Oryctolagus cuniculus: one gene and its partners. The protein of the gene in region 3 interacts with the protein of the main gene of each other region in a biochemical or structural test. Links are inferred from orthologs where the notes say so. Each region holds a gene or a part of one and is shown on either strand. Other genes may lie near its edges. The genes, in order: E3 SUMO-protein ligase RanBP2, USPL1 and RANGAP1.

What was found.
Region 1: the proteins of RANGAP1 (region 3) and E3 SUMO-protein ligase RanBP2 form a complex in vitro, tested with the Homo sapiens proteins (5 studies listed by BioGRID and IntAct, with this or other methods). The link is inferred for Oryctolagus cuniculus from reciprocal best matches to the Homo sapiens genes RANGAP1 and RANBP2.
Region 2: of the proteins of RANGAP1 (region 3) and USPL1, one has a biochemical effect on the other in vitro, tested with the Homo sapiens proteins (2 studies listed by BioGRID). The link is inferred for Oryctolagus cuniculus from reciprocal best matches to the Homo sapiens genes RANGAP1 and USPL1.

What each region holds. Positions count from the first base shown.
Region 1 is NC_091433.1:100,108,993-100,119,563, reverse strand, and holds the start of E3 SUMO-protein ligase RanBP2, read left to right. Parts: upstream 1-3,862; 5' UTR 3,863-4,000; coding exon 4,001-4,072; intron 4,073-4,664; exon of another isoform or gene 4,665-4,775; intron 4,776-10,571. UniProt on the Homo sapiens protein: E3 SUMO-protein ligase which facilitates SUMO1 and SUMO2 conjugation by UBE2I. Involved in transport factor (Ran-GTP, karyopherin)-mediated protein import via the F-G repeat-containing domain which acts as a docking site for substrates.
Region 2 is NC_091440.1:83,983,138-83,993,543, forward strand, and holds the start of USPL1 (SUMO-specific isopeptidase USPL1), read right to left. Parts: upstream 5,702-10,406; 5' UTR 1-5,701. UniProt on the Homo sapiens protein: SUMO-specific isopeptidase involved in protein desumoylation. Specifically binds SUMO proteins with a higher affinity for SUMO2 and SUMO3 which it cleaves more efficiently. Also able to process full-length SUMO proteins to their mature forms.
Region 3 is NC_091442.1:117,321,725-117,331,639, reverse strand, and holds part of RANGAP1 (ran GTPase-activating protein 1), read left to right. Parts: intron 1-1,066; coding exon 1,067-1,246; intron 1,247-5,060; coding exon 5,061-5,195; intron 5,196-6,633; coding exon 6,634-6,792; intron 6,793-7,704; coding exon 7,705-7,818; intron 7,819-8,483; coding exon 8,484-8,583; intron 8,584-8,664; coding exon 8,665-8,749; intron 8,750-9,711; coding exon 9,712-9,904; intron 9,905-9,915. UniProt on the Homo sapiens protein: GTPase activator for RAN. Converts cytoplasmic GTP-bound RAN to GDP-bound RAN, which is essential for RAN-mediated nuclear import and export. Mediates dissociation of cargo from nuclear export complexes containing XPO1, RAN and RANBP2 after nuclear export.

The DNA of each region.
Region 1 (10,571 bases), on a different chromosome or scaffold from region 3:
GCCACAGCAGAGAGCAGGACTGGAAGAGGAGCAACCGGGACTAGAACCTGGCGCCTATATGGGATGCTGGCGTCGCAGGCGGAGGATTAACCAAGTGAGCCACGGCGCTGGCCCCTCCTTCACTTCTGATCCAGCTTTCTGCTAATGTGCATGCTGGGAGGCAGATGACAGCCCCAATACTTGGATCCCTGCCACCCTGGTCGCAGACTGCTGGGGTTCTGGGCTCCAACTTTCAGCCTGGCCCAGCTCCGGCTTTGTATCTGGGGAGTGAACCAGCAGATGGTAGGTTTCTATCTCTCTGCCTTTTAAGACAATGAAAATAAAAAATTATTAAAAATGAAGAAAAGACCTGCATAGACATGTCTCAAGATATTCAAATGGTTATTAGGTATATGAAATTATGCTCAACATCACTAATCATCAGAAAAATATAAATTAAAACCATGATTATGTATCACTTCACATCTGTTAGAATGGCTATTTTGGCCGGCACCATGGCTCACTTGGCTAGTCCTCCGCCTGCGGTGCCGGCACCCTGGGTTCTAGTCCCGGTTGGGGCGCTGGATTCTGTCCCGGTTGCTCCTCTTCCAGTCCAGCTCTCTGCTGTGGCCCGGGAAGGCAGTGGAGGATGGCCCAAGTGCTTGGACCCTGCACCCGCATGGGAGACCAGGAGGAAGTACCTGGCTCCTGGCTTTGGATCGGCACAGCGCCAGCCATAGCGGCCATCAGGGGAGTGAACCAATGGAAGGAAGACCTCTCTCTCCGTGTCTCTCTCACTGTCTATAACTCTCTCTCTCTCTCTCTCTCTCTCACTGTCTAACTCTGCCTGGCAAAAAATAAAAATAATACAAAAAAAGAATGGCTATTTTATCAAAAAATAACAAGTGCTGATAAGTATATGCAGAAAAGGGATGTACATTGTTGGTGGAAATGTAAATTAGCACATTTTGGAAAATATTTGTAAAATTTGTAAAAAATGAAAATAGAATTATATGTTTCAACAATCCTTTTTGGGTATATATCCAAATAAAATGAAATCAATGTTTCCTTTAACAAAAGGAAATTTTGTCATATGCAACATGGATGAACCCAGCAGGCAGTGCTAAGTGAGATAAACTATACACAGAGGAGAAAAATACCATATGATCCTGTATGTGAAATCTAAAATCCTGAACTCAGAAGCAGACAGCAGAATGGTGGTTGCCAGGGTTGGTGGTAACTGTGGACAGAATGGAGAGCCATTGCTCAAAGTAAAGGCTCAGGGTGGACATGTTCTGGAGATGTGTAGACAGCACCAGCTGGCCTCAACATCTGGAGCTGTGCCTATGTGAAGCCAGGAGCCAGGAGCTTCTTCCAGGTCTCCCATGCAGGTGCAGGGGCCCAAGGACTTGGGCCATCTTCTATTGCTTTCCCAGGCCATAGCAGAGAGCTAGATAGGAAGTGGAGCAGCCAGGACTTGAACTGGCGCCCATGTGGGATGCCAGCACTGCAGGCAGCGGCTTTACTGGCTATGCCACAGCACCGGCCCCTAGCTAATGTATTCTTGAAAACTGCTAAAAGAGATCTTCAGTGTTCACACCGTTTACATACAACAAAGCATAACTAGAGGATGTGGAGGCTATGTTTATTGCTTGGATGTAATTATTTCACAATCTACAAATATATCAAATTATGTTGTGCATCAAAAATACATAATTTTGTCAATTATATTTCCATAAAGTTGGAAAAGTGCAATTGCAAAATGATAGAATAGACACTTATACACATACAATGGGGCTACATCCTGATAAACCCCATCGTAAATTGAAAGTATCAGTCTAAAATGCATTGTATACAACTAACCTACTGAGGAACAACATGGCTCAGTGCTGCCTGCCTTACATTTGCTCCGGATACTTGCCTGCAGCCTACAGTTGAGTGTTATGAGACAGTATTGTGCTGCATATCTCCAGCTAATGAAAGGATCAAAAATCAAAGTACAGTTTCTACTGCACACATATAACTTTAGTACCATCATAAAGTCAAAGGGGCATAATCTAGGAACAGTCTTCTGTATATCACAGGACAATAATGTAAGTGAATTTTGAATGCCTCGGTAGAGACATTATACCACTTGACAAACTTGTTGCCAAAATGAAGAAAACATATGACTATCCTAATAAATGCAGATATATGAACTGCCTAGAGGGAGAGAGAACTCCCATCTGCTGGTTCACTCCCCAAATGCCTGTAATGTCTGGGGGCTGAGCCAGGCTTAAACCAGCAACCAGGAATTCAATCCAGGTATCTCACAGGGGTAGCAGGACCCCAATTACTTGAGCTCTCACTGCTGCCTCCTAGGGTCTACTGGGGGAAACTGGAGTCCGGAGCCAGGGCTGGGAATTGAATCCAGGTATTCCACAATATGGACCTCTTCACTGCGAGGTTAAGCGCTGGTCCTAAGAGGTTTTTTGAATTCCTCATGAAGGTTCTCTCCTTGGTCCACTTCTCAGTATGTTCAACTTAACAAAGATCAGTATTTTTCACTAGGTGAGTGTGTTTGGGCAAGCTGTTTTAGTGCCCATTTTCTTGGTCTGTTGGAAAACATAAGATAACAAATAACAGTACACTTGGAAAGTCATTGGGAAAATTAAAAGAGTTAATGCATGTGAAGTGCTATGAAAAGAGCCTGCAGCAGCAAGTGTTTACTTGTTAGTTACGGCTATTTTTACCAACATACTTCCCAAGGCTAACTTGTAGTTCCACTTATTTCCTGAGGGTTCTGACTTCCAAGTCTGTCACAGATCTTTGTCTTATCCTTTCATCTACATACGAGGCCAACTCCATCTCTATGTATTTCACCTCAAGGGAAAGAAACCAGCTACCTAAAATAGGATATTCCATCCCAAGCTAGATGCTCTTTACATATTATTTGTTAAAGTACAGCAGTCACACTGGTAACCCAAGAATCATCTTTTCTTACCACAAAGATTGAAATAAAGAAAAAGATCTGTTTTTCCTTCTTCTTCATAAAGGTAATGCTTGTTCAATATAGAAAACACGGAAAATCCAAAACGGATAAAGATTACTCAGGGTCGGTGCTGTGGAGTAGCCGGTAAAGCCGCTGCCTGCAGTGCCGGCATCCCATATGGACACTGGTTCATGTTCTGGCAGCTCCACTTCCGATCCAGCTCTCTGCTGTGGCCTGGGAGAGCAGTGGAAGATGGCCCAAGTCCTTGGGCCCTGCACCCCATGGGAGACCAGGAGAAGCACCTGGCTCCTGGCTTCGGATCAGTGCTGTGCGCCGGCCACGGCGGCCATTGGAGGGTGAACCAACGGCAAAAGAAGACCTTTCTCTCTGTCTCTCTCACTGTCCACTCTGCCTGTCAAAAAAAAAAAAAAAAAAAAAAAAAAAAGGAAAGAAAGAAAAAAGGATTAGTACTATCAAGAATTCGATGTGTCCTGTCCTTCGGCCACTGAAATGTAAGTTGCAATCCGCCAAAAAATAGTATTTGTGGCCTATCTTTTTAAACGCATACGTTTTAAAATAAGTGCTTCGTATTCACATGTGTCCCACACGATGTACTTTAGCCAATCACCTCCAGGATTGCGCCAATTTACAGGCTCAACCAAAATGGCCCGACATCTTTTTCCTTCCACAACATCACGTGATTTTAACTAAGGCCAAACACGGAACGCTCTTAGGAACCCACGAGGTAAAACGTTATCTCGCGGCGGTGAACACCGGGCTCTCCGCCGCAAGCAGGAGAATCGGCCTCAGATTCGGCCACCCCGGCTGCGCCCGCTCGGGTAGAGCCCTCGGCCGGCAGTTCTAGGCGGGAGCGCCGCACTCGATGGCGTGGCGCACAGCGATGACGCAGCACGCACGCACGCCGCCCCGCCCCCTCCGCCGGCGACTGCGCTGCGTCACGGGTTTTCAAGCGCTTCGCTGCTGGACCCTGCGACCGCAGCGGGGCCTAACGCCTGCCGGCCGCTCGCCGGGAGTCCGGTCGGCGGCGCGATGAGGCGCAGCAAGGCCGACGTGGAGCGGTATATCGCTTCGGTGCAGGGCTCCGCCCCGTCGCCGCGAGAGGTGAGTCGTGTCCGGAGAGGCCGGGCCCTGGCCCAGCGGCGGCGCCGGCGCCATGGCTCCCGGCGCCAACCGCTCCCTGGCGCGTGCGGCGGAGGTCCGGGGCGGCTCGCCCTGCCCTGTGGGCGGCGCGGCGCTCGGGAGCGCTCGGGGAGGGGCGTGGGGGCGCGGGGGACGTCGGCGTTGCCTGCTTCCTGGGGCGGGGCGGGGGGCCTTCGTCCTCGTCAGGCCTGTTCCGTGCGGCCCGCGCTGCCCGGGCCCCCGGCTGGCGCCTCGGGCGGGCTCTGCCGTCCCGCTGCGGCCGCCTCTGGGCAGGGCGGCTGTTGGAACGCGGCGGGCTGTCCCCGCTGTGACGCTGCCGCGGCCGGGCAGGCGCCCTGGACTGCGGCCCGAGCGCGGGTGACCACGCGCAGTCCTCTCAGCCCCGCACGCCGAGCAAGCTGCTGTTTTATTTGCGGCCGCTTCCCCTTTACAGACGGGGTGCTCTGAGCTCAGAGTTTGCAAGTCTTTTTCCCGACAGCCAGTTCTGAGCACGTTTCTCCCTCCTGGATTACTTGGAGGCGGCGGCGGGGAGTGGGGCAGGTTACCACCGGTGGGCGCGCGCCGGCTCGTTGGTCTGCCTGCAGTTGAGTAGTTGCGACCCTGCCCTGGCAGACGCAGGTGGAGAGCGCGTTGAGTATCCCATCTGTAAAGCGGGCTTGATGAGGTGCGTGGTCGGTGCCCAACACCTCCAACGACGCCTGGCACGCCGTCAGCCCTACATGGGCGTCAGCTGCATCTCCTGGCGCTGGTGGTGTTGATGTTGGAAGTGAAGGTCTAGACGGCTGCTTCTGCATGGACGTGCGGGAAACGAGAAGTCTGTGTTGGGTGCAGAAAAGTTGTAAAGTTTTTGTATGGTTTTTTCCATAACACGCATTTCCCACGAACTTTGAGTTCTCATATTAGTGGTTGATCATGATTACAGTGCAACATAACGTGCCTTGTATCGTAGCCTAGTTATCTTACTTTATGCTCCAATAACTAAATACTGAGTCCTGCAGACGGGGAAGGTACTTGTCCAGGGCCAAGTGGATGGCTCAGCAGGGTGTTGGCAGTGGGTCTGATTGGCTTTTTTAGGAATAGTGTAACGGCCTATAGTCTGTCTCTCTGGAGAAGACACATAGGTTCCTACGTGCAGATGCCATTTCAAATCGCTGGCATAGTTTTTGTTTAAAGATTTATTCATTTATTTGAAAGGCAGAGTTGGTGGGGGCTGGGGACTCGAAGAGAGAGAGCTTCAATCCGCTGCTTCGTTCCCCAAATGGCTGTAAGGGGCAGAGCTGGGCTGTTCTGAGCCAGCAGCCGGGGCTTCTTCCGGGTCTCCTGTGTGGGTTCAGGGTCCCAAGCACTTGGGCCGTCCTCCGCTGCTTTCCCAGGCCCATTAGCAGGGAGCTGGATTGGAAGTGGAGCAGGTGGGACTATACCAGCTGCTGCCCATATGGGATGCTGGCACTGCAGACAGTGGCTTTACCTGCTGTATCACAGACCTGCCCCTGCATAGTCTTAAGTATGAATGTGTTAATAGTGTTAGAACCTTGTTGAAGGTTTCTGTAACTCCTAAGACTGGTATACTTTTTTTTTTGTTCTTATTTTTTGAAGCAAGTTTAGCATCTCCATAAGATTTTTTTTTTAAGATTTATTTATTTATTTGAAAGAGTTACAGAAGGAGAGGCAGAGAGAGGTTCTCCCTCCGCTGGTTCACTCACCAATTGGCCACAATGGCTGGAGCTGTGCCGATCTGAACCAGAAGCCAGGAGCTTCTTCAGGGTCTCCCATGTGGGTGCAGGGGCCCAAGGACTTGGGCCATCTTCCATTGCTTACCCAGGCCACAGCCGAGAGCTGGATCAGAAGTGGAGCAGCCAGGACTCGAACCGGTGCCCATATGAGATGCCGGCACTGCAGGCAGCGGCTTTGGCCCCCCTCCATGAGATTCTTAGTGGGGACCTTGGCTCTCAAATGTTAAGAAGCTGCCGCCTGTAGTTGCAGCCAATTGGGAAGTGAACCAGCAGATGGAAGACCTCTCTCTCTGCTTCTCTTTCTCTCTGTGTAACTCTTTCAAAGAAATTAAAAAACAAAAAACAAACAAACAAAAAAAACACGGTTTGAGACAGAAGGTAGAGTATTTCTACTATATAATTTCTGTCAGATAAAGAGGATTAGTTATGGCCACCTCTCAAACTTGAAGAATATTGTTTTAATTGGGTATTTTTCTTAAAGTGGATGCCTGAGAACTTCAGCAAAATATGAAGTAGCTAGTATGTAACTTTACAATGTGTGAAGATATTTTCTGTATTTTTTTAAAGACATTTTCGGAAGGGGGCAGCCAGGACATGAGCTGGCACCCATATGGGATGCTGGCACTGCAGGCAGAGGGTTAGCCTCCTGTGCCGCAGTGTCAGCCCATGAAGGTATTTTCTAAAGTTAGATCTGAATGCAATGTCAAAATAGGGTGAGTTGGATAATTTGGAAGGGGCTTGCTGGTGGAGGGGGCAGCAGCAGCTGTGAAGAGTGGGGAGAGAGGCACTGGCATTGTGGTGCAGCAGGTTGCATTTCCTGCGATTTCAGCATCCAGTATCCCGGTGCTGGTTCAAGTTCGGCCGCTCTGCTTCCCATGCAGCTCCCTGCTAATGCACCTGGAAAGCAGCGGAAGCTGGCCCAAGTGCCTGGCCCCTGCATCCGCTTGGGAGACCTGGATGCAGTTGTGGGCTCCTGTCTTGGCCTGCCCAGGCTGGGCTGTTGTGGCCATCTGGGCAGTGAACCAGTGGATGGAAGATCTCTGTCTCACTCTCCCTGTAACTCTGCCTTTCAAATAAATAAATAAATAAATGTTTAGCATTTTTTGAAAATAAAAGAATGGAGAGAGGTTAGTGCTTAATCTCTCATTTTGGCAGAGTCTGGCCATTCGTGAACTGACTGTACTTCCTAGGATGTGGAGCTCTGGGGTTTCTTGATACGTGTAGAATCTCATATGTTCCTAGTCTTCACTGAGTTTTCATTTGTTCATGTGCTTGTAGCTGTACCATGTTTCTGCTTCTTCACATCTACTTTTGTCCTTGTTGAAACTATTCTTTCTGTAATATTGCTTTTTACATATAATTTCTTTTGTCCTAAGATTCTGTCTGGTTGGTTTCCATTCTGCACCTGATTTCTACTCCTAGATGCTGCTGGACAGTACTAACTTGGTGGTTTGTTCTACCAATTACATCTATACTTCATACTTCTGATTTTATATATAGAGAGACAGACAGAGACAGCATGTGTGCACCAGAGGTCTCCCATCTGCTGATAATCTCAGGTGCTTGCAAGGACTAGGAACTCGCGATGGATCCCCCACCTGGGTTTGCGGGAACCTGATTACTTGAATCTCAGCAGTGCCTCCAGGGAATCAGCCCAGGCACTCTGGTGTGGGATGTGGAGGTCTCACCTTCTAGGCTTGTTTCCATGTATATATATATATATTTTTTAAGATTTACTTTTTTCTTTAAAGATTTATTTATTTTATTTGAAAGAGTTAGAGGGAGAGAGACATAGAGATCTTCATCTGCTGGTTCACTCCCCAGATAGCTGCAACAGGCAGAGCTGGGCTGGCCTGAAGCCAGGAGCTTCTTCTGGGTCTCTCACATGGGTGGCAGAGGCCAAAGCACTTGGGCCATTTTCTGCTGCTTTCCCAAGCACATTAGCAAGGAGCTGGATAGAAAGTGGAGCAGCTGGGATGTGAACCCATGCCCCTACAGGATGCCGGGGTGTCGGAGGCAGCTGCCTAACCTGATATGCCACAGTTGTGGCCTCCAATTTTTATTTCTTGATTCTGTTTCTTCTATTTCAGATGCTTTCTGTTGTGCTCCTCTAGAACTCTATCCACAGGCATTCCTTGTTTCTCCCTCATTCTTGCAATTTTTGGCTAAGTTAGTGTTTAGCATTTATATAATTACAGACAAATATTTTTGTGTTTAATTTGCCTTTGTGTGTAGTTTCATTTTTCCTGAGTTAATACTTGCTTTAAATTTTGATTTATTTATGGTGTATTGCTAATTCTTTACTCAAACTATTCAGTTTTAAACTCTGAAGTGTAGTCTAACAGGCACGTAATCCCATTCATTTCAGCCAAAAGATTTTTCTAAAACAGTTTTCTTATACTTGGAACATTGTTTTACTGCCACAGCATTGACTGTTTTTTTCTTTCTCTTTATTACACAGCTGTGGTCCTGGGACATCCCATTATCCTCACCTTGATAATTTCCTTTGCCTCTTTTTTTGTGTTAGACCATGTGTTTTTTGTACTTTATGTCTTCTTGATTTACTTTCATTGTTTTGGAGTAGGATAATCGTACTTTGAGAAGGAACGGATGAGAGCTGGTTTCTTTTTTTTTTTTAATTGTATGTTTGAGAAACATTTACTTACTTTGATGGATAATTTGGTTATCAAATTCTGGATTCAAAATAACTTCTCAATTTTAAGAGCATTTCTCCATTTCTGATAGTTTTATTATAAGTCTGATTTTTTTGGTAATTTATAGATTTCTCTGGAAGCTTCAACTTAGAGTTCTGGCGTATTATTTCTTTGAACTTTGCTTTTTTTCTCCTGTTTTCTTTCTGATATCCACATTAAGTAAAATTTGGAATTTGTGACTTGAGCCTCAAACTTTTTTTTCATTTCTTCCCCAATGTTTTCAGTGCTGAGCCCTTTTTTAAAAGTTTTTTTATTATTATTTGAAAGAGTTACAGAGTGAGTGATATCTTCCATTTGTTGGGAGAGACAGAGATAGAGATCTTCCATCTGCTGGTTCACTGCCAAGTGGCCACAAAGGCCAGGAGTCGGCCGGTGCCGCGGCTCACTAGGCTAATCCTCCGCCTGTGGCGCCGGCACCCCAGCTTCTAGTCCCTGGTCAGGGCGCCAGATTCTGTCCTGGTTGCTCCTCTTCCAGGCCAGCTCTCTGCTGTGGCCCGGGAGTGCAGTGGAGGATGGCCCAGGTGCTTGAGCCCTGCACCCGCATGGGAGACCGAGAGGAAGCACCTGGCTCCTGGCTTCGGATCAGCGCAGTGCTGGCTGCAGTGGCCATTAGGGGGTGAACCAATGGAAAAGGAAGAACTTTCTCTGTCTCTCTCTCATGTCCAGTCTGCCTGTCCAAAAAAAAAAAAAAAAATTAAAAAAAAAAAAAAAGCCAGGAGTCAGGAGCTTTATCTAGGTCTCCCATGTGGGTGCAGGGGCCCAAGTACTTGGGCCAACCTCTACTGCTTTTCCCAGGCCATAGCAGTATTGGCAGTGGAGTGGCTGAGGTATGAACTGGCACACATACAGTATGCCTGGGTAGTGGGTAGTAGGGTAAAGGTGACTATGCCATAAAGGTGGCCCCAAAGCACCCGACAGCAGGAGAAAAACCACCAAAGCAGGTCACATATTGGGAAGTTAAAAATGATGGTTCCATTATTTAAAAGAGGTCATCTTAAAGCATTCATCTAAACGTGGCCACATCCAAATGACTAGTCAAAAGAGATTGGTAAAGTATTGGTTTGACTGTAGATCTCTCCCCTGTCCCTCCTGGAAGAAAATTGACAGGAGGCTGGAGAATGGTTACGGATAGATGGGTGGCGGGGCGGGGAGGGAGTGAGTGACTGAGTCACTGGGCTGAGGTCCAGGAAGAATCCGAGTGCCTGCTCATTGGTCGTCTGGGGCAGGGCTGTCACATGTGTGGCTGGCCCTGAGCTTCCCACCTCTACTTCTGGAACTGAGGTCACCATCTTACCCACTTCACTGAATTCAGGGCCAGAGCACTGGATTCCCCACAGGCTACCTCAGGATCCAGATGGGGCTGGAGTACCAGACTGTACACGTGAGCAGGGCAGATGCACACTCTGACTGTTTGGGAGCGCACAGGCTGAAAAGCAAGCACATTTTTTTCTTCATTAAAAAGATTACTACTTTGACCAGGCAATGCATACAATGGGAACTTATTCCAAAGAAACGGAGAGACAGTGAGTGAACCTCTTCAGTATAGTCTCACCTCAGCCTCCCCTAGTGCATCCACATGGTTGTCATGTATGTGTTCATGTCTCTGGTGACCTGTGTTAGGAAGGAGAGTGGCTGTGCTGTGCACACGTGTGTACCAGGCACTCAAAAATTGTCAAATTAATGGTTCAGTGTTTTGTGTCTTAAGACACTTTCTGCTATGCAATTATATTTTAAAAATCTGCCTCCTCAGGGCCGGTGCTGTGGTGTAGCAGGTAAAACCACTGCTTGCAGTGCTGGCATCCCATATGGGCACCAGTTCGAGGCCTTGCTGCTCCACATCCGATCCAGCTCTCTGCTGTGGCCTGGAAAAGCAGAGGAAGATGGCCCGGGTAGTTGGGCCCCTGCACCAACGGATGACCTAGAGGAAGCTCCTGGCTCCTGGGTTCAGATTGGTGCAGCTCCAGCTGTTGTGACCAATTGAGGAATGAACCAGAGGATGGAAGACCTCTCTCT
Region 2 (10,406 bases), on a different chromosome or scaffold from region 3:
ACAGCGCAATGTGCCGGCCGCGGCAGCCATTGGATAGTAAACCAATGGCAAAAGGAAGACCTTTCTCTCTGTCTCTCTCTCTCACTGTCCACTCTGCCTGTCAAAAATAAAAAAAGAAAGAAAATTGATTTTAACTTAGTATGTTGTCATAGGCCTGACACTGAGAAACGTCATTACGAGTCATGAAGAGGAGGGACTTCCCTTACAGGATCGCCATTAGCCACCTAGATCCCCAGTGAAAATTTCTGTCAGTAATGGACAGCTGATGCTGTGAGTCAGTGAGTGACGGACATGTTGCACATCTGTTACCCAGGACCCACTGTGCTCAGCACCACAGTGGAATCGGTAGACTGAACACAGTCACCCCTGGGTGAGAGTGGACAGCCTGTCGCTATGGACAGGAATGATGTCACGTGAACCATGAGACTCGCGAATGTGTTAGTGACGCCAGTGTTGTCAAGAATGCCCACGTGCGTTCTTCAGTTCTTGCTGAAAACGTGGGAACTGACTTTGTGTTCCTCAATTGAAAATTTTAAAAAGCAAGCAAAAGCTAGAGTAGTCACCATCTTAGCTTGTATGTTAATTGCTTTCTTATTTTGTTTCCAGCTACATAAACAGGAATTTGACTTGATAAAAAACCTATTTTCTCCCCATCATATTATTCTATAGTTTAAAAGTGTATAAGCTAACATTTAAGAATAATACATAAATGCACACCATGCAGAAGCTCTTGCTCGGAATTTGTATTTTTGGTAGATTTTAACATATCAAGCAAGATAAAATTAAACAGAATAACTGATTTGCCAACACACATCTTTGGTACTAGGATTAATAGAATTTTTAGTAGTATAGGCATATGACAGAGGGTATATTATGTGGAAAATAGATCATGCTAGGTATTAGTAAGCATTAAATTAAAAAGCTTTGTAGCATCATAAAAGGAATTTTTATGTGTAGCTGTACTGGTGTAAGCTTCTGCATCAGGGACAGCCCTCTGTCCCTGTAGCAAAGTAAGTAAGCATAGCATAGCTTCAGAAAGTGCCAGAAGGGCCTGGTGTCGTGGTGCAGCAGGTTAAGCCTCCACCTGGGACCTGTGTTGCATGTGAGTGCCAGTTTGAGTCCTGGCTGCTCCACTTCTGATCCAGCTCCCTGCTAATGTACTTGGGAAAGCAGCATAAGATCCCCAAGTGGCTGGACCCGTGCCATCCACATGGGAGACTCTGGCCCAGTCCTGGTCATTGTGGCTGTTTTGGGGAGTCAGCCAGTAGATGGAAGATCTTTCTCTCCCTCTCTTTCCTCTCTCCCTGTCTCCTTCTCTCGCTCTGTAACTCTGCCATTCAAATACATAAATGTTTAAAAACAAACCAGAAAAAGGTCCCAGAAGGTTTGCACAGCCCACAATATGCGTTATTCCAAGGATGAAATCTTATCTCCAGAAGCCTTTCCATGAAAATTTGGGCCCATAATGCTACACTGGTTTGAGGCACTCAGTAGGTTGGGGACCTCATCACGTTCCTCTTTATAGTCCCATTTTTTTAGCATAGTTCATGGAAATTAGTAGGTTCTCGATGAATGTTTATTAAATGAATGCACTCTGTGAAAAGTAAAGCAAGAAGAAATGTTGACTGGGTTTCTGTTTACAGTGCTGTTATCATAAGAGGATTCATTTAGCAAGTGTTCATTGAGCCTCTACTATGTAGAGACACTTCAAGCATTGGCTTAGGAACAGATAAGTTAGTAAGGCAAGCCTTGGGGTTGAGGAGTAGATGGTAAAAGGAATAGAAAAACTTGTGAACAATTATGGTAAAAGTGATTGGTGCAACGAGAGAACCACAGAATTAACTATAAAATTGTAATGCTGTCACAGAACTGCCTCCTCTAACAGTATACAGTTATGCTATTGGAGAAATACAAAGTGCTGTGAAAACTCAGAAGGGAAACTGTTCCAGTTGGAGGAAAGGGTGCTGGATAAGGTTTTGCAGGGAATGTGGCCTTTCTGTTGTACTTGGAAGATTCTCTCCCTGGTGCCTTGGGCATCTCACATCTACCTTGACTATTTGGTCATTATTTTTCCCTCTCACCCACCCAACCCAGATCTGCATACTTCAGAATCTTGAGCATGATATTGCTCTTAATTTTAATTTTATTTGAAAGGCAGAGAAAGAGACAGACTGTTTGCTGGTTCACTCCCCAAATGCCCAGAAAAGCCAGGATGAACAAGGCTGAAGCCAAGAGCTTGGAACTCGGTCCCCACCTCCCAGTTGGGTGGCAGGGACACAGGTACTTGAGATTTCCAGGCTGTGCATTAGCAGGAAACTGGAAGCAGAAGTGGAGCTGGGATGCAAACCCAGGCTCCCTTGAGAAGGCATGTAGGCATCACAAGTCTCTCTTCAGCCACTGTGCTACCGTTTGCCCTTTGAGCGTGATTACTGATGGCACCATTCACCCCCAGATCCATCCTTTTTGGAATCATTTGACTATCTTTTTTTCCAGTCTTCATTTGGTCACTATAGTTCTATGACTTTTTTTTTTAAAGATTTATTTATTTATTTATTTATTTGAAAGTCAGAGTTCCACAGAGAGAATAGGAGAGGCAGAAAGAGAGAGAGATGTGTTCCATCTGTTGGTTTACTCCCCAGTTGGCCACAATGGGCCAGAGCTGGGCCGATCCAAAGCCGGGATCCCGGAGCTTCTTCCAGATCTCCCGTGAAGGTGCAGGGGCTCAAGGACTTGGACCATCTTGTACTGCTTTCCCAGGCTACTTCAGAGAGCTGGATCAGAAGTGGAGTAGCCGAGACTTAAACTGGTGCCCATATGGGATACCGGCAACTGCAGGTGGTGGCTTTACCTGCTATGCCACAGTGCTGACCCCTGAAGTTTTTAATAGTTAGCAGTTTTTTATAATTGATAAATTTTGTACATAGTCAACAGCTTATCCAAAATATGTGAGCCTGTCAGTCTACTAATCACTATTTTAATTTTTTAAAGCATACCAAAAAATGTAGTCCTATTTTGAAGTAATCCACTCATTTCTTTAAATTAAAAAATACAATTATGGTTTTTAAATGTACAGAAAGTCATAAAGAATGTACAGAGAAGCTATACCTTGATTATAGTATTTTGTTTTAATTATTTTTAATTACTTAAAAAGCAGAGAGAAAGAGAGACAGACAGAGAGAGAAGGTCTTCTATCTGCTAGTTCATTTCCCAAATGCCCACAAGAGCTGGGGCTGAGCCAGGCCAAAGCTAGGAGCTAGTAATTCAGTGCAGGTCTGCCTTGTGGGTGGCAGGAACCTAACTACTTAAGCCATTGTCTGTTGCCTCTCATGGTGTGCATTAGCGGGAACCTGGAGTCAGGAGCAGAGCCAGGACTCGAACCAGGCGCTCCTATATGGGATCCAGGCACCCCAAGCAGTGACTTTACTGCACCAAATGCCCACCCCAATATTTTTCCTTTAAATAACACCTTTCTTCTAAACACACATTTATTTTAATTTGTCCTTGTTTCTATGGAATCCCACAATTGGATTCCTGCTGTTGACTTTCTAGACAGTAATACGTTTCTGCTACCATTTGGAGGAGCCTGCATCACAGCGTACTGCAGAGTGGGTTCTGACTTTCGAAGATGCCTTCCTGGAACCATAGGCCCACCCCCACCCCAGAAGTCATCGTCCAATTCCCATGATTAATGAGCTTAGTCCGAAGTCGAGTGGAACTTACAATTCACTGTTTAGTGGAGATTCCGATGCTGTTCACTGAAACAAGCGATGTTCAGAAAACTGAAAGTGAAACTGTCGGTCCTTGGCTTCTGTAGATCAGGAGCCAGGCAGTTTTGTTGATAGAGAGCTAGGTCACTGTGAGATTAAGCCAAGAGTGTGGGAGCCCTCTGGGCTGTTCTCATGAAACTGAGTTTCCAAAAGCCCTTGAAGCATAATCATGCTCTCTTTGAATCCAAAACTTTAAATAATATCTAAAATTCCTTATTCTTTGGCCTGGGCTTAGGATTTAGGGAAAGCAAAAGTATATAAAAACATATTTCATTCACTTTCTCACCGAACCTGATATGGAGTTACACAAAATTAGCAAAGTTCACTGATAAGAGATTTACCCTTCTGATATCTTGCTCTGATGAAATGCTAAAAAATGTTTTCAAGATATAAAAGGTTGAAGAGTTTAAAAAAAAAAAAAGAGGGGACCAGTGCTGTGGTTAAGCAGGTTAAAGCCCCAGCCTACAGCGCCGGCATCCCATATGGGCACTGGTTCAAGTCCCAGCTGCTCCACTTCCACTCTAGCGCTGTGGAGGATGGCCGAAGTCCTTGGGCCCCTGCACCCGCATGGGAGACCCAGAAGAAGCTCCTGGCTCCTGGCTTCAAACAGGCTCAGCTCCGGCCATGGTGGCCATTTTGGAGAGTGAATCAGTGGGTAGAAAACTTCTCTCTCTGTGTCTCTGTCTCTACTTCTCTCTGTAACTCTGACTTTCAAATAAAATAACTAAAAAAAAAAAAGTTAAGGGGAATTTCAGTTCATAAGCAGAGTTGCATTAAAATATTCTTACCGTGATTGTGAGATCTTGAATTCTGATTTTGCCATTGTTAGAATAATGTTGATGAAATATTTTACTTAATTTTTAAATTTTCATAGCAAGTAGCCCGTATCATAAAGTGGAGAACTGCATTTAGAATTGCCATTACAAAACGCAACTGAAAAGTCTCTAATGGCCAACATGAACGTTTATCACTAAGGTGTTCTTGCATTCTGTTAACAGTTGCCTTGTAACACAAATACAAAAGTAAGGGACTTCCTAATTTGTGTGTTTACATCAAGACCACTTACCCTAATACCCATGGACAGTTCCACCTCTGCCAGGACTGTTTGATACTTGGTGACATCACATTTCATTCTTTTTTTAAAAAAAAGATTTATTTATTTATTTGCAAGTCAGAGTTACACAGGGAGGGGGGAGAGAGAGAGAGAGGTCTTCCATCCAATGATTCACTCCCCAGATGGCCACAATGGCCAGACCTGTGCCGATCCAAAGCCAGGAGCCAGGAGCTTCTTCCGGGTCTCCCACATGGGTGCAGGGCCCCAAGGACTTGGGCCATCTTCTACTCCTTTCCCAGGCCATAGCAGAGAGCTGGACTGGAAGTGGGGCAGCCGGGTCTCGAACCGGCGTCCATATGGGATGCCGACGCTTCAGGCCAGGGCGTTAACCCACTGTGCCACAGAGTCGGCCCCCACATTTCATTCTTTAAGTTGTACTCTTCCATCATAACTTACAAAACTAGGCATAAAGCTATTTTATTTCCTCCCAAAGTAATACCTGCTAATCAGAAAGTTTGTTGAAAATGGAATTAAAAGATAAGTGTATTTGGATTTCAAAATAATGTTGGGAGGGGGCATTTGGCACAGCTATTAAGTGCTGCTTGGAATACCTGCATCCCATTTCTAAGTGCGTGGTTGGAGTCCTTGCTCTGCCCCCAATTCCAGCTTCCTACGGACGCACACCCAGGGAGGCAGTAGGCAATGTCTCAAATACTTGGGTATGCAGCCACCCATGTGGAAGACCTGGATTGCGCTTTAGCCTGGCCCAGTCCTGCTCATTTCAGGCATTTGAGGAGTGAACCAGCAGATGAGCAATCTCTCTGTCTCTGTTTCTGTCTCTGCCTTTCAAATAAATAATTTTCAAAAAAATAATAAAAAGTAAAAATTTCATAGAAATACATGTTATGGAAAAACTTTGCATGAATTTCAACATTTTTTGCACCAAAATAAACTAATCTTTTCAATTTATTTTTCCATGAACTGTTTGAAGTCCCCTTGTAGAAGCGGCTTCAGGTACAGTCTCAATGGCACATACAATGAGGGTTATCCTGCACTAGGCTTACTGAAAGCAAATGTAAGCACAGTTTCCCATTACATCATTTAAAATATATGTATATACATACATATTTCACTAACATTATTGGAATGCAAATATTAAACTTATTACTAAACTATAGAAAACAATAAAAAGTAATACTTACAAAACGCCAATATCCTTTATTAATCTTTACTTCTCTGAGCTATTTTCATTCTTTGTTTAAACAATCCTCATTTTCGCTAGATTTGAACAGATTGAACAAATGTTTTTCATTAACCTGTTTGTGGCTTCAAAGCCACCAGGCACAATGCCAGCTATTAATAGTGGAGTTTTATTCTGCAACTAGATCGTCCATAAAATAACGTTGTCTTTTTTTTCTTTTTTGACAATCTTGGAAGAAGTACTTTCCCACACTTTTATTACTTCTTTAAGTCACCAAACTTCCTATGTTGATTTTTGCCTGCAGAATAAAATAATTATTTACACAAAAAATGTCCTTAGTACTGTGCCTCTCTAGTAAGAGTAAGATTCTTCTTCCATCTTTTAGGCACTCTCAGTCTGTTAGATTCTAATTTATAAGTGTAGAATTTATAATGAAAGCACACATTCATTCAGGAGCCAGACTTTTAAACAAGAGTAGTTTTAAAGGACTTAGGATTCTATTTTTCTGAGAAATAATTTGTACATAAAAATCTTACAAAAATATGAAAATGAAAGCATTTTAGGTCATGAAGAATTGCCTTTATTTAACAAGGGAATTTCATGAAATTAGAACCCTCCAGAAAACAAGGAATATATAACCATCATCTCTGTGGAGAGTGGCTCTTATCCATTTGATGGTGACTTCGCAGAGGGTCTAGCTCTGTAGCACACACATAAGAGTAGGCATTTAATTAAATCTTTGAATAATCAGGCGATGAGCTTCCTTTGATAAGAAGTAACCAAAGCTACACTTTTGTTCTCATTGTCCCTAGAGCGTAGGGGCAGAACATTTAACACAGTGAAGAAGAAAGCCACACACACAAAATCAGCAGAGTACCACGTAAAAAGATCAAGATTTGTGGAGGCCCAATTCCATGAAGGGCATGTAAGTAGAGCCCCATGCGTCTCTGTGTGGATGCAGATTGATTAGGTTAAGCACTTAGCAAAATTGCTCTCCGAAAGCTAAGTGATCATAAAATAAGATGCAGAAGTTCAAACTGAAAAAGTTCCTGCAGACCAAGTTCAACGACAGCTCAGTTTCGCGTGGCAGCAGCTCAGCCATTCCTCACAGTTTTCACTGGTGTCTGGAAATTCACAAGTGACTTTTCTAGAGACTGAGACGCTGAATCATTTGTCACTTGCTTTGTTAGTGTACTTGTTTAAGCAGAATGACTGCCTCTGGGCAAGGCCTCACACTTCTCTTTCCCTCCCACTCTCTCTGCTTGTGAGTCACCAAAACCAGCGCACCGTCCTGCACACACAAAACCGCTGGGGACCTGTGTCTGCGGAAGGCACTGGGCCTGCACTCTTCTTTCTCTGCCTCCCCCCTCCTCCCTGGAATCAAGCCCAGGTGTTTACCGCCTTCCTGGTGGGTCAGGAAAGGGCAGTGGCTATCCGCTGACATCCCAAGGGCGACCAAACCTACTAAGATCAAGTGCGTGACCTCTGGCTTCTTGAACACAAGAACGGATTCATGTAAAGAATATTAACTTGTGTATGATATTCTTCAACGTTCTTGTTTTTATTTTTCATCTTATCTGCCGTCTCATTCCACCGATCTTTGTGCACCAAAGCTCACTCTGAAGGGCCCTGTAGAAAAGGGGGTACAGCAGTGAAAAGCAGGGGCTTCGGGCCTGGCTCTGCCCCTTGGTAAATGTGTCATCCCGGACAAGCCAAACACTTTAATGGTGTCACCTTTTCAGTGTTCGCATCTGTAAAATGGGGTTGTGCCCACCCACTCAGAATTCTGTTGCCATTAAGCAAGGTAATGGATTGAAGGTGCTCAGTGCGCTGCCTAGCATACAGAAGTGCGTAGTGAGTAGCTAAAATGAAAAGGAGCCAGACTTGTGTACAGTAAGACTGACGCATTGAACTTACAGGGTAGGCTCTTGCTTCTCCCAGAAAAATTCTGATAGAACCTACTAACCTCTAATAAGGGAATTTAGAATAGTACCCACTGGTGGGAAGAGGCCATTTTTTTTTAAAGACTTATTTATTTATTTGAAAGTCAGAGTTACATAGAGAGAGGAGAGGTTGAGAGAGAGAAGTCTTCCATCCACTGGTTCACTACCCAAGTAGCCTCAACGTCCAGAGCTGTGCTGATTCGAAGCCAGGAGCCAGGAGCTTCTTCTGGGTCTCCCATGCGGGTGCAGGGGCCCAAGGACTTGGGCCATCTTCCACTGCTTTCCCGTGCCATAGCAGAGAGCTGGATCAGAAGTGGAGCAGCCGGAACTCGAAATGGCATCCATATGGGATGCCAGCACTGCAGACAGTGGCTTCACCTGCTCTGCCACAGCATCAGCCCCAAGAGGCCATGTTTTAAAGGAGCCCATCTTAGCACCCCTGTAATCATACAAGGGCATTACAAATATTTTACTTATTAAAGCAAAAAATTTCAAGATCCTTGATGCATAGTTTTCTCTCTCTCTCTCTCTTTTTTTTTTTTTTTTTTTGGACAGGCAGAGTGGACAGTGAGAGAAAACAGAGAGAAAGGTCTTCCTTTTGCGGTTGGTTCACCCTCCAATGGCCGCCACGGCCGGCGCGCTGCGCTGATCCGAAGGCAGGAGCCAGGTGCTTCTCCTGGTCTCCCATGTGGGTGCAGAGTCCAAGCACTTGGGCCAATCCTCTACTGCACTCCCAGGCCATAGCAGAGAGCTGGACTGGAAGAGGGGCAACCGGGACTAGAACCCCGGGTGCCCACATGGGATGCCGGCGCTGCAGGCGGAGGATTAACCTAGTGAGCCACGGCGCCGGCCCCGATTTTGTGATTTTTAAAAAATGTTGATTATTATTCACTTGAAAAAGTGAGAGGTCTTCCATCTGCTGATTTCACTCTCCGAATGCCCACAACAGCCAGGGCAGGGCCAGGCCCTAGCCAGGAGCCAAGAACTCCATCCAGGTCTCCCATGTGGGTGGCAGAAACCCAAGTACTTGGGCCATCCCAGGGTGTGCATTGGCAGAGAGCTGGACTGGAGGCAGAGTCACACTTGATGGCAGGCACTCCAGTAGGGAACACCTGTGTCCCAAGTGGCAGCTTAACACACTACCACGACGCCCACCCTTGTGTGATTTCTGTATGGCTTAGATAACTTTTCAGAGCCCAGATTTTCTTGTCTTGAAAATGGACTTCATAATAATATGAGTGTGAGAGATAATCTACATAAAGTTATACCATAGCACCCAACAAGAACTACACACCCCTGCTACTCACGACGATCGTGGTTTTAATTTGCTGCTTCAAGAGGCTAGGGTGCTTTGTGCTTTAGTTAAGGAATCCACTGTGTGCATTCGCAGGAAGTTGGAAACAGGAGCAGAGCCAGAGTTCAAACGCAGGCCCTGTGGTGTGGGATGCAGGTACCCCAAGCTGCGTCTTACGTGCAGTGCCCGCCACTTAGCCCATATTCACAGACTTCGTATTGGCTTCTGCTTCTGCCTCCAGTTCCTGTCACGGGCAGGCATTTTAGAGGACAGTGGTTTATGGCATTTGGCCAATTTGATAAATTGCAGTCATGACTATTAGATGGATAAAAGTACATATTTGAGAAACGACTGAGTGTGCTAAGTCTGTTTTTTTGAATATGGCTTCTGGAACATTGCCACTGCTGACCAAAAGCAGAGCATCTCAGCAAGGCCAAATGGCACAGACCACCGTCCTCTAAGGAGGTGCTGTGGTCAGAATATTTGTCCCCCACATTCACACTGGAGTTTCGTCTCCCAGGTTTTACATTAAGGGTTCTGAGAGGGTGAGAACCTAATCCAATGATGGTATTTAGAGGCAGGGGCCTTTGAGAAGTAATCAGAAGGGAATAGGTTGTTCACAGTAGCTTTTTTTTTTTTTTTTTTTTTTGACAGGCAGAGTGGACAGTGACTGGGAGAGACAGAGAGAAAGGTCTTCCTTTTGCGTTGGTTCACCCCCCAATGGCTGCTGCGGCTGGCGCACCGTGCCAATCCGAAGCCAGGAGCCAGGTGCTTCTCCTGGTCTCCCGTGTGGGTGCAGGGCCCAAGCACTTGGGCCATCCTCCACTGCACTCCCGGGCCACAGCAGAGAGCTGGCCTGGAAGAGGGGCAACCAGGACAGAATCCGGCACCCCGACCAGGACTAGAACCCGGTGTGCCGGCGCCTCAGGTAGAGGATTAGCCTATTGAGCCGCATCGCCGGCCCACAGTAGCTTTATAAGGAGCGAGAGAAACCACATACACACAGGGAGAGATACAGGCCAGGCGGCCCATGCCAAAGCCTGTGACACGCCGTTTGGACTCGGAACCTCCGAATTGCGAGCCAACATAAATCTCTTTTTGTTTATAAAGTTGCCTTCATCAGTGTTTTGTTACAGTAACAAAAAAA
Region 3 (9,915 bases):
GCTTTGAGGAGGTTTATCTCCATGCTCCTGGCGGTGAGAGTGAATCTGGAGAAGGGAGAAGAGAGTTAGAGGTCAGGGTGGCATGACCTGCGGGGAGGGTGAGGGGCTGGGCATTGGTTGGGGCCAGATCACCAAGCACAGGGCAGCCTGAGAACACTTGCCCTTGTTTAGTGAGGGAGGAGGGCAGTAGAAACGGCCACAGCAACCACGCCCCGGTCTGTGTGTGGACGGCCTCCCCTCTGTGTTTCTGTCCCTGTCGGCTGCAGCCCAGCCCACTTCTGCCTCCAGTTCTCTGAGCCTTCTCTCCGTGACCATCTCCCTGGGGACTGTGGGTGTCCCCAGCCAGAGGGGTTCCCAGGAGAGCTCAGTGTCCTCCTGCCAAATCCGGTCCCTGTCCACCTCCATTTGCCCAGTTACCCGCTGAGTCCCTGGAGGCCTTTGTGGGGCCCCCTTCCCCCCACATCCATTTCTGCAGCCTCCCTTCGCTGCACGGAGGCCCAGGTTCCTCTTTCACTTCTGCCACACCAACCAGTGCCACCTTGTACTCCCAGGGGGCGCACAGCCTCCAGCCTCCCTCTGCCCGACTGTCTGCCTTAAGGACCTTCCCTGCGTGTTCCGTGGCCATCAGAGTCTCTCGCTCTCAGGCTTAGGCCCAGTTCCTGGCCTGGTGTTTAAGGCTCTTGCCTTATGTGACCCCTTGCTTCCAGCCAGAGCTCACCCATTGATTGGTGTCCTTTCGGGTTTACCAGCTCCTTGCTCCGGCACACGGCATGCTGCTTCACGCTCATGTCTTTACTGCTGCCCTCCTCCTTTCGTGTGGACTGGCTGACTCCAGACTGAGCTCAAATGCCACCTCCTTCAGGGGGTCTTCCCAGACCACTCAGACCCTACTCCCTGGCTGCTAGGAGCCCTGTGCAGGGTTTCCAGTCGCGGTTGTGTGATTGGAAGGCTCTGCACTGAAGTAGGCTGTGTCTGCCTGCTGCCCCCTCCTCTGGGTGCCCTGAGGGCTGGACTGAGCCCAGCACAGAGGCAGCGCTGTGAAAGTGACCTGCGTTCCCTTGTCCAGATCTCCCTAGGGGAAGGACTCGTCACAGCTGGGGCCCAGCTGGTGGAGCTGGACCTGAGTGACAACGCGTTTGGACCCGATGGCGTGCGAGGCTTCGAGGCCCTGCTCAAGAGCCCAGCCTGCTTCAGCCTGCAGGAGCTCAAGCTCAACAACTGCGGCATGGGCATTGGCGGCGGGAAGGTAGGCGCCGCAGTCCTCTGCTCGCAGGCCTCATTGTTCTCTTCAAAGAAGAAAGGCCTCAAAGGCTGGGAGGGAGAGGAGTCTATGAGGGAGGGGTTGCTAAGCAACCATCCCAGTCTCCTGGGTTGGCTTGGCAACGGGGAGCAGTGCCACTGCATACCTGCACCTGCCGAGTTCTCAGAGCAGCCGGCAGAGCCAGGGCGAGGAGGCCCAGAAGGAGAAAGGGGCCGCTTGGGAAGGTGCTCCCAGCTCCCCTGTCTGTGTCCTTGGGTGGGGCCTTGCCGCAGGTGCCTCGCCCTGTCCTGCCACGAGTCAGTCTGGTCTGGTCGGTGTAGAAAGAAGCTTTGCTTGTCAGAACTCACACCCAGACAGGCTGGCCTCATTACTCTCCTGGACCCATTGAGAGTCGATCTGTTTCCTCTCTCCCTCCCCCTGCCTCCCTCCCTCTCTCCTCTTCTCTCTCTCTCTCTCCCCTCCCTCTCTCTCCCCTTCTCTCTCTCTCCTCTTCTCTCTCTCTCTCCTCTTCTCTCTCTCTCTCCTCTTCTCTCTCCCCCACCTCTCCCTCTCCCTCTCTCTTTCTCTTCCCTTCTCTCCCCTTCCCCCTTCCCCTCTCTCCCTCCCTCCTCTCCTGCTTCCTTCCCTCTCTTTCTCTCTCTCTGCTGGGGACATGGGTGTGAAGGTGAATGAGACACATGAGTTGCCCCCACACTGCTGCCTCCCTCTCCCCAGAGAGTAGATGGGCTCAGAGAGGTGGGGCTGATTGTGGGGCTTAAAACCTCATCCAAAGGCTCCATTCACAGCAACAAGAGTTGCCAGGGTGGGGCTTGCAGTGCCCCAGGCTGGAGCCAGAGTGGACACCCCCACAGGATGTGCCTGTCTCCCTGCCCCACAGGAGGGAGAGCATCCCTTCTCCTAGCCTAGCTGGACGGTAAGCAGTCCACGTGTAGAGATGTCATAAAAGCATTCACTTCCTCACAGAGAATTCATCGCCCACCCAGAGGAGCCTGCTGCGAGAGCAGGGACACTATAGCGTGTCCTGCCTGTGCTCCCATCACCTCCTGTCTGTTGCATAGCATTGCCAGGAAGCACACGCAGGGCTTCCCCAGCTGCCCAGTGGCTGTATGGCCTATCCCACTCTGAGTGGTGGGCATAGGAGTTGGGAACGCAGAGACCTTGGAACCCCAGGACCAGGGCCTCCTCTGTAGACCAGCTCTATGCTGGGATTTGAGTTGTGCAGTAACTTCATTTAGCCATGGACTGTTGTTCCAAGACCCCTGGTGAGTGCCTGTAGCCTTGGGCAGTACCAAAGCCATGTATGTATACTCTGTTTTTTCCTCTATATACATACCTGTGACAAAATTCCATTTCTCATTTAGGAATAAGAGATTAGCAAAAAAGAACAGGTTCTGGTGTTATGGTGCAGTAAGCTGCTGCCCACAAGGCCAGCATCCCATGTGGGTGCAAGTTCGAGTCCTGACTGCTCCACTTCCAATCCAGCTCCCTGGCTAATGATCTGGGAAAAGTAGCAGAAGATGACACAAGTACTTGGGCCCCTGCACCCCATGTAGGAGACCTAGTTGATCCCGGTTGCCCCTCTTCCAGTCCAGCTCTCTGCTGTGGCCCGGGAGTAAAGTGGAGGATGGCCCAAGTGCTTGGGCCCTGCACCCCATGGGAGACCAGGAGAAGCACCTGGCTCCTGCCATCGGATCAGCGCGGTGCACTGGCCGCGCCAGCCATTGGAGGGTGAACCAACGGCAAAAAGGAAGACCTTTCTCTCTGTTTCTCTCTCTCTCACTGTCCACTCTGCTTGTCACAAAAAAAAAAAAAAAAAGGAGACCTAGTTGAATCTCCTGGCTTCAGCCTGGCTCAGCCTTGGCTGTGGCAGCCATCTTGGGAGTGAACCAAAGATGGAAGATACACCTCTCTTGCTCTTGCTCTTGACTCTGTCTCTCTCTCTCTCTGTAACTCTGTCTTTCAAATAAATGAATCTGTTTTTAAAAAAGTTAAAACAGCATACTATAATAGAAGTTAATTGGGGCCAGCACTGTGGTGTAGTGGGTAAAGCCACCACCTGCAGTGCCGGCATCTCAAATGGGTGCTGACATCTCATATGGGTGCCAGTTCGAGTTCTGGATGCTCCACTTCAGATCCAGCTCTCTGCTATGGCCTGGGAAAGCAGTAGAAGGTGGCCCAAGTCCTTGGGCCCCTGCACTCATGTGGGAGACCAGAGGAAGCTCCTGGCTCCTGGCTTCGGATCGGCGCAGCTCCGGCCGTTGTAGCCATCTGGTTAGTGAAACAGTGGATGAAAGACTTCCTTCCTTCCTTCCTTCTCTCTCTCTCTCTCTCTCTCTCTCTCTGCCTCTCAAGTAAATAAATAACTGCCTTAAATAAATAAATCAATCTCTAAAAGTTAATTGCCTGTGATCACTCTGTCTGAAAAATATTGTACTATAAATCTTACCATACATTTTTTTTCCTTAGGAGCTTTCACTTTTTATTTATTTTTTTAAATAAGAAAGAGAGAGAGAGGTCTTTCATCCAGTGGTTCACTCCCCAAATGACTGCAACAGCCAGAGCTGGGCCAGGGGGAAGCCAGGAGCCTGGAACTCCATCCAGGTCTCCTGTGAAGGTGGCAGGGGCCCAGGTACCTGGGCCATCTTCCGCTGCTTTTCAGGTACATTGGCGAGCTGGATCAAGAACGGAGTAGCTGGGACTTGAAGTGGGGGCCATACGGGATGCTGTCATTCGCTGTGCCACAGTGACCCCACCTCTTCACTCGACAGAAGTGTTGCGGCTTCTCTTTGTCAGATCTGAATTGCCAGAATTGCAGACTTTGGGGCCAGGGTTAAGAGACAGTGATATTTTCAGGCCAGGGTTGGCTACCCTGAATGACAGGAGACTACTGCAGTTCTCTGTTGCCCCCTCACCACTGATCTGATGAGTCCTGGGGTCCTGGCGGCTCCACCTCTTCACTCGACAGAAGTGTTGCGGCTTCTCTTTGTCAGATCTGAATTGCCAGAATTGCAGACTTTGGGGCCAGGGTTAAGACAGTGATATTTTCAGGCCAGGGTTGGCTACCCTGAATGACAGGAGACTACTGCAGTTCTCTGTTGCCCCCTCACCACTGATCTGATGAGTCCTGGGGTCCTGGCGGCTGCAGGCCTCAGGTCCTTTGGCAGCTGTTCCCAGCAGGCTGTGTGTGTGAAGTGCGATCCGTGGGCCACACACCATGGGAATTGGAGGGGCCCTAGATCCAAGGTCTGTCAGGAAGTTGGAGTCCTGCAGGAGCCAAGGCCCTCCACATGGTGGCCTCAGCAGAACAAGGGGCAAGCAGGGTGAGCCACCTTAGAGAGTCTGATGCTTCTGCACTGTGCATGCACACGACCCCACCACTGTGGAGCTGGTGTGTGCTGACCTTACATTCTTCCAGGGCAGCTGTGTGGGCTCAGGCAGGAGCCAGGCCAGTCTGTGCAGTATTGGTGAGCCCCAGTTCTTCAGCTGACAACGGGGGTGACCATGGTCCCAGCTAGCAGAGGCTCTGCCGGTGCAGTGAGCTAACTGGGGAGTCCCCCCCCCCCGGACCTTAAAGCCGGGTGACTCTGCCCTGGCTCTTCCCTCGGACTCCCTGAGACTGAGCGCCACAGGCTAACACACAAACCAAGTGATAGATGTAAACTGTGAAGTCTGGGGCCCAGATGAGGCGCGATCTGGCCGCACACCCACTGCCAGTGGGTGCGCAGGATGCACACGGTGGGGGCCCCACAGGGACGAGGGCCCCCTGCCCATGGCTTGTTCCCCTTGCTTTTGCCTGCAGATCCTGGCTGCAGCTCTGACTGAGTGCTACCGGAAATCCAGCAGCCAAGGCAAACCACTGGCCCTGAAGGTCTTCATGGCTGGCAGAAACCGTCTGGAGAACGATGGGGCGACTGCTTTGGCAGAAGCCTTTGGGGTGAGTGTTCCTGTCTGTCGTGCCCTAGGCACTGATGCTGGCTAGGCCTACCAAGCTGAGAGTCTCGGCTGTGCATCCCAGCGCCGGCATTTAGCTGAGCCAGTGGAGATGGTCACTTACCCTCTCTGAGCTTGTTCACTCCCCCGCAAATGTGCGTGTCTAGAAGACACACTCACCATCTGGGGCGAGCCGCTAGCAGCTCCCCGAAGCTCTGTGTGAGAGTACTGTGAAGGCTCGAGACGGAGTTAGAGCTGAGGAGCCTGGCACGGCTTCCCTGTGTGGACTGCAGAGAGGGATCGCATCCCACTTGCCCGAGACAAGGAGACTGGGAGGAGCTTCTGAGGGGCCCCAGCCAATGAAGCACTCTTGGGTGACCTCCCCCAGTGTTTACTTGTGACCACTCCGCCCCCACTCCCAGCTGTGCCGTGCACCCAGGACAGCAAGACTGGCCCAGGTGCAGTGAAGTGCCTGTTCCCCATCCCAGGGAGCAGTGAAGGCGGGATATGGGCCTCTGGAGAACTCACTCAGGGTTGACGGTGTACAGGTGAGAACGTAGGCTTTGATGATGCAGGATGAGGAACCCCACCGGAGGGGAAGACTCAAATACTTGGGATGTGGAAGAAGAGCACTGGACGAGAATCCAGGAAGCCTTCCTGGGAGAAGTGTCCACCATGAGAGTGCATAGAATGCAGCAGAATAGGAGGGAACTGTTATAAGCAGAGATGGGGATGGCAGAAGGCCGGAATGAGAGAGGGCCAGGTGGGTTAGAGGAGCCCTTCCTCACCTCCCAGGACGTGGCTTGTAGAATGCCGGTGGAGGAGGGCGTCACCCAGAGGACTGAGCCCATGTCCCCAGGGCAGAGGACTGGGGAATCTGGAGTTTGGGCTGGGCGTGAAGCCTCGTCACTGAGACCTGGTTAAGATGCCCGCGTCCCACATGGCAGTGCCTGTGTGAGGCCCAGCTGTGGCTCCTGATTCCAGCTTCATGCAGGCGTACACCCTGGGAGGCAGTGTTGGTGACCCAAGCTGTTGGGTCCCTGCCTCCCATGTGGGACACTTGGATTGAGTTCTTGGCTGGTGGCTTCAACTTCTGCTGTGTCCCAGCGTTTGCTATTGCAGGCATTTGGGAAGTGAAGCAGCAGATGGGAGCTTTCTCTGTCAGCTACTCCAAAAAAATGAAATCTGGTTCCAGATCTGTTTGACCCTGGGCGAGTCACTTGGCCTTTTTGATTTCTCCTCTTACTGGTGGGGATCCTGACTCCACCTTGGTGAGACTGCGGAGAGGATCGCCTGCCATTTTGCCCCCCGAACCCACAGACAAGCCCTGCCTGGTGCTGGCGACAGCCCCTCCGCATGCGTGCTGTGTGGAGCCGCTCTCCCACCGCCGATGTGCCTGTCACTTGGGGGCCAACACTCTGCTCTCCTTCCTGCCCTCACAGATCATCGGGACTCTAGAGGAGGTCCACATGCCGCAGAATGGGATCAACCACCCTGGGGTCACAGCCCTGGCCCAGGCTTTCGCCATCAACCCCCTGCTGCGGGTCATCAACCTGAACGACAACACCTTCACTGAGAAAGGGGGGGTGGCCATGGCCGAGGTGAGGCAAGTGTGGCAGAGCCGGGTCACAGCCCCGTGGGGCAGGGCCTGGCTGCTGCCTGGGCTTCATTTGCAGGTGGCTGTTTAGCCCTCACTTTTCTGCCCACCTGGTGTGCACCCCATGGGCCCAGCCCGTGTGAACACGTCCAGAGTAGGGTCACGTGTCACGGGGAAGCCTGTGCCTTCCGTGGGCAGCTCTGGGGGTGCTGCTTTGTACTCAGACGGCACAGAGAAGGCTGCTCGTGCTTGTCTCTTCCTCATTGACTTGTTCAGAGATGGTTTTATTGAGCCCTTTCGGTGCTTGGCTTTGAACCAGTGCCTTCAAGGAGCTGTAGTTGAAGAAGGGGAGGAAACTGCTGACCAGTGACAGGCAGGCTACCTGCATGCCAGGCCCGGTGGGGAGGGCTCCACAGCCCTGCAGGGGCCTCACCCTGTTGCTGTGGCGGCAGATGTTGGGGAGCTTACATGAGTGAAGATCAGGTCAGGTGTGTCCTGGGCTTCCTGGAAGAGGTTCCATTTTGGCTACATTGTACAAGACACACAGATGCTACAGAAGGTGGGACTGGGGGTTTCAGGCAGAGGCGTCTGGGCTTGTGGGAAGCCAGGGACTCAGGAGGGAGCCTTGCTTTGCCTGGTCCTGGCTTCGCAAGGCCAGGCCAGAGATGAAGGGGGAGAGGCAGGACTGTGTAGCCTTGCTAACTCCTTGAGCTATGGAAGGTCCAGTAGTGGTGTGAAGTGATTAGATCTGTGCTCCAACACGAGGCATGGGCTGGCCCTGGAGGCCAATGGGGAGGTGATGAGAAGAGCTAGTGGGGTGTGGAGGTAACCAGACCAGGATACAGAGAGGATGCCGTGTGGTGACTGATGGGGGCAGGGAGGGCTGGGGTGAGGCCTGGACCCTTCCTCCTTGCAGACATTGAAGACCTTGCGGCAGGTGGAGGTGATCAATTTTGGGGACTGCCTTGTGCGCTCCAAGGGTGCCGTTGCCATCGCAGATGCTGTCCGTGGGGGTCTGCCCAAGCTCAAGGTATCACCAGTGCCATCTGCTGTCTTCTTCCCAGCCTCTGGGCTTCCCCCATGCTGGGGGTGGGGTCTGGTGGGGAGGCTGGTGGGCCGGGGTCCATACCCCAGCTCCTCTCCCGGCCACTGCGGTTTTGTGCACGTTCCTCCCCTCCCTGTAAAACCAGAAGAAGGTGTGATGTGCACCATTGTGTAGGCTGAGTGCTCTTAATCTGAAATCAGGTGCTCCAAGTTCTACAACTTTTGAATGCCAGTGTGACACCACAGCTGAGCTTGGGATGGGTCACCATCAAAACGCAGGCACCCTAAAATGACCATGTACACCTTTGGGTGTACATGAAGCAAATGAATTTCATGTCTACGTTTGGGTATCAATCCCAAATCTTGTTGCGTGTATGCAAGTAGTCCAAAATCTGAAACCGTTTGAAATTGGAAACATTGGTGTTCCCAAGGATGTTCTACGTGTGGTTCAGTTGAGGCAAACACACTTGGCCCTTGGCACCTGGTTGCGTGTGTGGCATTGTGTTTTTGTGTGTGTTGCTGTTCTCGCCCCCTTGCCAATCTGGAGGGCAGAGCCTGCCCTCTCTTCCCTCGGGGAGGCTGAGGCTTCAGAGCAGGACCTGTCTCTCCGCCCAGTTCCTGCTTGCCTCCACCACTTCCTCCTATTTTTAGGAGCTGAACTTGTCCTTCTGTGAAATCAAGAGAGATGCTGCCGTGGCAGTGGCCGAGGCCGTGGCCGACAAGACTGAGCTGGAGAAGCTGGATCTCAATGGTAGTGAGGGCAGGCGGCCTGGGCACAGACCCGCCAGGCTGGCCTGGTGCTGTCCTGACCAGCCCCTTTCTCCATGAGCAGGCAACACCCTGGGAGAGGAAGGCTGTGAACAGCTGCAGGAGGTGCTGGACAGCTTCAACATGGCCAAGGTGCTGGCGTCCCTCAGGTAGGGAATTCCGGGGGGCGGGGGCTGTCAGGCCACCTGTTCCTTCGTGGCCACTCTCCGTGTCACTGAGCTTCTGTTCTGGGTCAGGCTCTGTGCCAGGCGTGGGAGGTCTGAGGACATCTGACTCGCAGGAAGCGGAGAGAGGAATTGTGTCTTCAGCAAAGAAACACAGAGGGCTGAGCATGGCCACCCTTAGGAGTGGGTGAGCCAGGGGCCTCTGAAGTGACGTCAGGTTTGGTCCTGACCCAGCAGCAGCTGGCACAGAGGGCCGTGAAGCCAGGGCAGTGAAGGGGTGTGAGTGGGCACAGCTGGGGCCCAGGGTTGTTCCCCAGACGCTGACTCTAGGAAGGAAGCGACTGATGCAAGAGAGCGGGGCTCTGCATGTGGGGTGGGGTAGAGGTGGGGAGCGGACGCGCTGCCTCCTGCTGCACTGCACTCGGTCTGTGCTGGCAGCCCCGCCTGCTGGTCTGCAGCTGCACCTCACTGATGCTCAGTCTTGAGTCCCCACTGCAGGCCTGTGCTGCTGCCAGGAACTGGGGACTCAGGGGCTGGACCTCAGGAGGATCCCGGTCTGGGGACAGTGGAACAGCCTTCCTCGGGGCAGGGACAGCTAGACCTTTGCCTCCCTGCACCAGGAGCTTCCTGTGGTCATGAGAAGAGGGTGGCACTGCCCTGGGCATCTCGGCCTGGACAGATCCCGCCACGCCCTGGGCCTCAGCTGTCTCCCTGGGACACTGTGGGCTTCTTTGGGACAGGGACAAGATCTGATTCACCCGTGACTGCAGAAGCTGCTGCACGCTCATCCTTTGTCTTGAAGAATGAGTGACGTGCTCTCTGGTGAGCCCTGGGCCAGCCCCAGGAGCAGGCACCCTCCCCAGACTCCCTGCTGTCTGACTGGAGCCTTGTGGTCAGTGAGGGTCACTGGGTAGGGAGAACCTGCTTTAGCCAACTCCTGTCTGCAGTGATGACGAGGGTGACGATGACGAAGACGAGGAAGAGGAGGAAGGGGAAGAAGAAGATGAGGAGGAAGAGGAAGAAGAGGAGGAGGAAGATGAGGAGGAGGAGGAAGAGGAGGAAGAAGAGTCTCAGCAGCAGCGAGGTCAGGGGGAAGAGTCGACCACACCCTCCAGGAAGATTCTGGACCCTAACAGTGGGGTACGTTCCTT